Astyanax mexicanus: one gene and its partner. The protein of the gene in region 1 binds, or shares a complex with, the protein of each later gene. Links are inferred from orthologs where the notes say so. Each region holds a gene or a part of one and is shown on either strand. Other genes may lie near its edges. The genes, in order: eed and ezh1.

What was found.
Region 2: the proteins of eed (region 1) and ezh1 are in contact, whole or in part, in a cryo-EM structure (PDB 7KTP), measured with the Homo sapiens proteins. The link is inferred for Astyanax mexicanus from reciprocal best matches to the Homo sapiens genes EED and EZH1. Residues at the interface, in NP_003788.2 of Homo sapiens: Cys84, Val85, Asn86, Ser87, Leu88, Lys89, Glu90, Asp91, Trp103, His104, Ser105, Lys106, Glu107, Val112, Arg120, Leu123, Tyr124, Gln129, Gly130, Glu131, Ile132, Arg133, Leu134, Leu135, Gln136, Ser137, Tyr138, Val139, Asp140, Tyr154; in NP_001982.2 of Homo sapiens: Gly37, Ala38, Lys39, Leu41, Tyr42, Val43, Asn45, Phe46, Lys48, Val49, Gln50, Lys52, Thr53, Gln54, Leu56, Asn57, Glu59, Trp60, Leu63, Arg64, Val65, Gln66, Pro67, Val68, Gln69, Ser70, Met71, Cys83, Thr84, Ile85.

What each region holds. Positions count from the first base shown.
Region 1 is NC_064428.1:19,808,117-19,812,041, reverse strand, and holds the start of eed (polycomb protein eed), read left to right. Parts: upstream 1-1,208; 5' UTR 1,209-1,283; coding exon 1,284-1,397; intron 1,398-3,925. UniProt on the Homo sapiens protein: Polycomb group (PcG) protein. Component of the PRC2/EED-EZH2 complex, which methylates 'Lys-9' and 'Lys-27' of histone H3, leading to transcriptional repression of the affected target gene.
Region 2 is NC_064426.1:22,696,189-22,700,113, forward strand, and holds the start of ezh1 (histone-lysine N-methyltransferase EZH1), read left to right. Parts: upstream 1-1,031; 5' UTR 1,032-1,217; intron 1,218-3,925.

The DNA of each region.
Region 1 (3,925 bases):
GTTGCCTTTAATGTACTTCCGAGTCAAAATAAAGCTTGATTGATTGATTGCTTTTGTGCAGTTTTCATATTTAATTTTACTGTAGTAACTTTTATACATGTTGTTGTCATGTTCCTCCTCAACATGTTTCATTAAAAAATGCTCTTAAATTCACTTTGCATGCATATATGTTTAAATGGGTTTTTGAAGGCTATTTTTCTCAAATAAATTTGTTTTGTATTCTATAAAAGTGGGTGAGAAAAAGTGGGTCCCTGGTTGAGACCTGTTGAGAAGCCCTGCTTTAAATCAGGGAGGGATGCATTCAAATCCTACCTGTGTAGGACGAGTGTGGACGTGAGTGATCGACCTACAATAGCTAGCTTAGTGCCCTACCTAGGGAGTATAAATCCACTATTTGAGACGTGCCCTACACGTACGGTGAGTGTGCCAGGTCCTCTTGCAGCGTTCGGCTGGTGATCTGTCTCAGGGCTCCCCCTGCTGTTCGGGACGCGCTAACACGCCCGGTGTTCTGTCGAGTTGCGCTACCCGTCGATGCGTGCTACTTAGCGGCTCTGCGCATGCGTGAATTCTCATTTATTTATTTATTTTTGACTATTTTCACGTGTTTTACAATCTGAGATCACTGAATTTTATATATTATTTTGTATTAAATTTGAAAATATAATAAAAAATAAATATAAAACGACTTCTTATACCCTATATTGCCCTAACGAACTCTAGTACAGCAAATTTAGGCTATTTTTTAGGCTATCCAAATATCACACCGAGACTTCTACAGCGGGCATTTTCTTTTCTTTTTTTGTAAAATTAAATCGCACAATTTTTTATGCTACCTTCACAAACCGTGCTACCCTTGTAGTATATTTATTAAATGCAAAATAAGCACCATATTAGAGCATATTCTCAGTGCAAGTCTATGTAAATTTTTGGAGAGCATAAATCACTGTATCATTGCACAGTTTTGTAGTAGTGAGAGGTCATTACAAAATATTTTTTTATAGTTATTATTGTATTTATTGTTATTATTATATATTTTTATTTGATGACAGTGAGTCCATGTTGTTTAATGTACAAAAAATATTTCCTATATATATAAAAAAGCGAGAAATAATTGATAGCTGTAGGTCAGCGCATGCGCAGTGCCTTTAGGAAGCACGTTTCGACGCGTAGCGCAACTCGACAGAGCACCGTTCTTCGGTCTGCAGTAGCGGAGCTCCTCTCCACGCCGCTTTGTGGCAGCGCAGCGTGGCCGCCGGGTTTTTCTTCAGCAGAGGAAGAAGAAGATGAGGGGGAAGATGTCTGAAGCTCCTGCCGAGGCGGGAAACGACATGCCGGCAAAAAAGCAGAAACTAAGCAGCGACGAGAACAGCAACCCGGACCTTTCCGGAGACGAGAACGTAAGAGAAGATCCCGCGGCGGCGGGTTCTAGTTATATATATGTTAGCGGGAGCTCCGGGGATCCGGGGCCGCGGCTCGCTCTCTCTCTCCGCCTCTACTGATGCTCTGTTTACCGGAGCTGCAAGTTTCCCTCGCTGGTTAAAATAACTTACCTCTGATGTGTTTAATTTTATCGAGCCTGGGGCGGACTGGTGTAAAATTGTCCTTTTTTAACCCTTTTCTGTGTTTCTATAGGCTTTGTTTTCTGTGAGACTCACTTTAGCGAGGTTAGCGGAGCTAGCTTCCAGTTTTGTTGTTCAGGTTAGCTGCTGGCTAACTCGCTGAATTCAGTGTAATAAAATAGCTGGGCTAGCTTAGCTTGGGTAGTTTCACTAGTTAATTTAGCCCTTTTAGACCTGAATTAAGATCCAGTGATGAAAACATAAGAATGCTATGTGCCTGTGATGAACACAAAAAAAAAATCTAATATGAACTTTCTGTAAAAAAGTCTATTAACTAAAATATTAGTTAAAGAGAACGGTATTACGTACACTTCAGTATTCCGTACAGTTGAGCATTTAAACAATAAAATACTTAATAATAAACTATTGTTATGTTTGAAATATAGTCTGGGGTCATTGTCAATCCTTCCTCTTTCCATTAAAACAGGTCAGTGACCATCCACGTTGTGTTTTCTCTTGAAATTCCGCTAGGTAGGGAGGAAAGGTCCGCGTCGCCGAAAACGGGTGGGTGGGGAAGGGTTAACAACGTTGAGGCTAGGGGGTGGGGAAAACTTTATCGACTAGTTTTTAACATCACATTTCACCCAAAATGCAACGTTAAACATCCAACTAACAGCATCCGTTGTAATATTTGATTGAGGAATTAATAATCATAGTTTATAACTTACTTTAAAAACGAGCTTACTCCAGCTCCACATCACCACTCACAGACAGCTGAGATTTTGTGCTGCAGCTTCAGCACATTTTTTTTTTCAATTCATAGACAACTTATCAAATCCATTTGACAAACACTTTACTAAGCTTCTACGTCAGTCTAAGCTCATATGTTATAGGTCATAGGTCGGCAATAGGCGGCTCGCGGGCCAGATGCGGCCCGCAAGCAAGAAACATCTGGCCCGTGAGGTTGAACTATAATGAAAAAAAAAATCGGACTGTCCGTCTCAAAAATGCTCTTTATTTAGAAACTTAATTTTCCAAAACAGAAAAATTTATTAAAGATTTTTTGATAGAGCCACGGGCTGTTAGATAACTGCTAGCTCCTTTATTCTGTTATTTTTTTTTTTATTCGTTTGGTTTTTTTTTTTGTTTAACAAACAGGTATATCATTAATAGCGCCCCCAATGGTCAGTCCACAGATTTCACCCACATCAGCCCACTTGAATGTCGTCTGCTTGTCATTTTAACCTCTTACTGCAGAAGCGCCCTCTAGCGGGCCCGCCGGCGGGCCCGTTCTGACTATGTAAATTAGAACGCTTAAAAGCGTCAAATATTCTAAACATACCGACCAAATAACCGACTCATATTCTTTAGTACTACTTTAACTACCTGCATGCAAATTTACAGCCATCTACATGAAACCAGTCGCCAGAAATCGCCAACTGAAAACAGCCTGTTTTTTCACATTGTTTACACGAGAAACACGCCTCCCCAACAAAATAGCCTTATAAAATAATATTAGTGTATAAAATAACATCATATTATATTATTGAAAATTCACTTACTATCACAGCATCCACAATACAGCACTGAACCGCAGGTAAAATATCCATAAAGTCCTTTATTTGCCTGCTCACGGCTCCTCAAAAACATGCGTTTAGTTTCAGCGCAGCCGTAACGTCGTATTCTCAAGCTCCCAGCGACTACACAATGGAATATTTTCCGTAAAGTTGTACGTGAATACAAAGCTAAGGGTGTCCTCTTCTAGATTCAGTGGTTTTTATTGGTCTACAATCCACTACTTTTCTTGAGTGATCGTCTTTTGAACCAATGGCGTGAGCGCTGGATCGCGCTGGTGTTCAGGGCTGTCCAATCAAATCAGATCATAGGCTTTTTCCAGCGTCACAAAAGTGATTGACACCTATTTCAACCAATAGTCCACCCTTAGACGAAAACACTGATACGTAATTTGCCCTGATTGGTCTCCGAATGGCTGGGGGAGGGGCATGCCAAACCGTCACCAAGTCACAAAAAAAACACCCCTCTCCAAACGCTAAAACACACAGCGCACACAGCGCGCAAACATGTGATTTTATGTGTCATTTCATCAAAAAAATATTAATATTACCCTGAGATGGACTCACATTAATTTATTTTATCACAAAGAAACAAAAAAATATTAAAATGTTGTTTTATAGAGACAGATTCACCTCTGTATCAGACTGGGGCGCTCTGGAGAGGTTTTTAAGCCTTTGGTGACGCCTGGTGGACACCTTATATATAATGCAGTATAAATTCCCATGCTGTTAAAATAATGTTTTCAAATTTTGTACTTTGTTTGACAAGACCCTAATAAACCAGGAAATGTA
Region 2 (3,925 bases), on another chromosome or scaffold:
ATTATAGCCCTCCAGGTTCTGTATGGGTGTTTTATGTAATGGACTGTACCGCTGCTCTCCGCTGGGAGGCGCTGCGCTTCTCTGTCTGAGTCACGTGTCCGGGCGGCAGCGTGGTTTGACTCCAGCGTTGTTTTTCCCACTCGTCCTCTGACAGGCCCCGCCCCTCCAGAGCTCTGGAACAGAGGACCGCTCACTAACAAATCCCAGCACAGGGGGCTGGTCACTACTAACCAATCCCAGCACAAGAGGGCGGGGCTTGTGGAGTACAGTTAGAAAATAACAAAATAAATATATAAATACATACATAAATACATACATACAGTCAGCATCACCTCCACACAGATCTGCGGAGTTTGTGTGGGCGTTACTCACACCGGCCCATCGTGTGTTCTGTTCCTCTATAATTACAACATGAGCCTAATGACAAAATTACATAATACAATAATAATATATATATAATTATAATAATAACACTATAGCATTGTTGTTGTTGATGACATGATAGAATAGAATACGTATTCTATATAATAGAATGCTTTATTTTATAACTAACATTATTACTACTAGCACTATTACTCCTACTACTGCTACTACTACTACTACTACTACTACTACTACTACTACTAATAATAATAATAATAATTATTAATCAATATTAAATAGATAAATAGTACATAGCAGTATACATACCAGCAATACTACGCATATTATTGATGGCAATGCTAATAACATTACAAACTACCATTATTGTACTATTATAAATGTGTCCAATACACAGTAATGTACATATCAGCACTCTAGCAACAGTAATACATCTGCATTATATCTATTATATTAGTGATATTAATGATAAACATAATATTATTACAATTTTATTACACTATTATTATTATTATTATTATTACTGTGTATAATTGTTTGAATGATGTGATGAGTCATGTTTCGTGTTTGCTGCTGCTCGGTGTGTGTGTGTAGTGTGTGTGTGTGTCCGCTCCGTGCAGTCGCTCCTAATAAAGACGTCACACTCCGACCAGCCCCGAGTGCGCAGCTCCTAAAAACTGGAAGGCAGCTGAGCTCAAGTCTGGGCCGCTGCGGTGCTGCCCGCGCGCTACGGGTGACGCGGGGCTGCGGGCTGGTCCTCGAGGACGCTACAGGGGTCTGGAGCTCGAGCCCTTCAGCGTGTGGAGACCGAAACGCGGGGACACGCGAGTCTGAAGGTATTCCGAAACTGTGTGCACTATGTGTAAATGTGTGCCTGCGTGTGAACGCGCGCGTTCGTGTGTGGTGTGTGTGTGTGCGTGCGTGCGTTTCACAGCAGCAAAATCCCCTGCAACGTGCGTTTATAGCAGCGTTCCGCGTGCGCGCTGCCTCGCATGACGCTAAAACTAGCACGCTACATACACGCCGCGAAGTGGCGCGTGCATGCATGCGTGTGCATATGTATGTGCGTGTTTGTGCTGTAGCAGTAATTAGGTGGCCATCGTACAGAAGAAGTGATATTCTTCGACGCAAGCGGCTCGTGCGTGGTGTTGCCCGTCAACCCGCCACCCCCTCTCTTTTTTCCTCCGCACGCACGATCTCTCGTGCACGCGTGCTTTTGGGTTTTTGGTTCTCTGCAAAAGCAGATCTTTGTTGCTAATTTTCAGGAGGATTCGAGAGGATTTGGGGGCTGTTATGAAAGTGCACTGCGCACTTTTTAGTCGCGAGGAGTAGGAGGGGAAGGAGTCACGCCCACTTCCAGTCTCGAGACGAGAGGTTGCATGTGTTTTTCTCCTGCTACACGCGTGCACGCGCGCTCACACCACCGTCAGACTGCTCACTCACACTGAAGCTCGCTGTTTTCCCCCGTATTCAGCCACCGGATGTGGAATGTTGGTGTTAAATTTAGGTGACTACCCTAATAATGCTGACCGCGCGCGCAAGTGAGTGACTGTTTTTTCCAGGAAGGGCTTTAAAGCCCTTTAAACAGGGCGAGCTGCAGTTCTGTTTTGCTGCGAGCAGGAGGCGCCGGAGCGAGCAGAGCAGGCGCGCGGGAGTAATGCTCCTCAATGACAAAGTTTGAGTCATGTATTTTGTGAGTCTGTGTGTGAAGCTGCTGTGTATGAGATCTTATCACATCTGGAGAAATTCACTCCAGAGCATCATCAGTGTGAATCTACTGCTATCCTCTGTCTTTGAAACATTTTTATGTTCTTATTAGTTCTGTTTTTCAGCATTTTTTTCCAAAATTGACTTCTTATCTATATATTTGTTGACATCTGGCATGATATGTGTTTTGTTTCTGTAGGTTATTTTAATGGGGCATTCACACCTACCTTCCCAGCTGGCATTTCAACGTTGTATAAACGTTGAATCAACGTTGATCAAGGTAGATGTTGTGGTTGAATCAACGTTGAATCAACTGTTGATTTTGAAAAGGAAATCAACGGTAATATAGCAACGTTGTGTCAACGTCATATGTTCAACCACTAATAAACCATAGCTCACTAAAATGAGACAATCGTATGGTTAACAAAGTGTTAACAATAAACTTACATCACTGTAGTAAAGCTGAGTATAAAGAAAGTTACCCACCACTACCAATTTGATTCAACATTTGATCTCAAAAACACTAAAACCGTAAAACTATTAGAACATGAACATGATGTTAATGTAAAAGCAGTTACTGCAAATAGAAGTAAAACACTGTTTCATTCGTCCATCCCACCATTTTTATAAATTATATGGTGATGAAATGTAAAATGCTGATTCAAAAGGCAGAACGTTGAGTACATTATGTTGATTCAACATTAAAATTTCAATAGCGAAAAAGCGTTGTTTAAACGGTGAAACAACAACATACATTACTTTAGTCATATTTCAACCACATTTCAACGTTGAAGTTCGGTTGTGTGCCAGCTGGGTTGATTTCAGTTTGGTCTGGGTCAAAGTAGCAGTTGTGAAAGGGGCCATAAACCATGAGAACATTTGTTTTGTGAACAATGTGTTGTCCCAGAAAAGAGCTGTTCTGTTCTATGACGGATGCTTAGTTTCACTAAGGGTGTTTTCACACCTGTAGTCCGTTTCTCTGGTCCGAATCAATTTTATGTTTTCTCCCTTTAGTTTGGTTTGGTTTCACACAGGCATAAACATAAATGCACCAAAATGCGCACCAATCAACCACGTGAGCACGTTGTGTCCTCTGATTGGAGAAGATTCTGTGCTCCAGCGCGTATATCTGTGAGGTGTGAAGCTGCTTTAATTTAAGGCTTATTACAACACCTGTGAACAAACGCTTTATCATGTAATAATGTAACAAAGACAGAAACCTTGGTGCAGACAGGTCTGGATATTTAGTTGTGAAGGGTTAGATTAAATATTGCTATTTGCTACAATATCACGTAGCAAATATCACGTGTAGGTTATTTTAAACCTGTGTTTTAAAGCCTAGGATTGCAGGTTAGCCACAGTGCTAAAAGCTGTGATTCAAACAAACACAGCAGCTGGTCTCGGCAGTGTTGTTGTTTCAACAAATTGCCAGCTGTCACCTTTGTTTGCAGTGCTGTCGTAAACAAAAACACAGATTTCTACAGACTGGAACTGAATCGCCTGTAATCCAGATTCTTCTTGAGACCTGCCTTTGCTGTGGAGTGACCCACTGCCACAACTGCTGGTGTGATGACCTAGGGAGCCATCAAATGCAATAGTTGGTCACCCCTAGTAGTGATATGAGGGACTCTTACAGCTCAGCTGTAAGGATATCCTGTAGCCACATGTGTTTCTTCTCATGGCAGGGTATTTTTCTGGCATTTTTCAGCAGGATAATGCTCACCCTCACACAGCACAGCTTTTACAGGAATGTCTCCACAAGATTGCATCCTTGGTCTGCCCGGTCCCCAGATTTATCACATCCAGCTACAACATATGTGGGCAAAAGTGCTACATG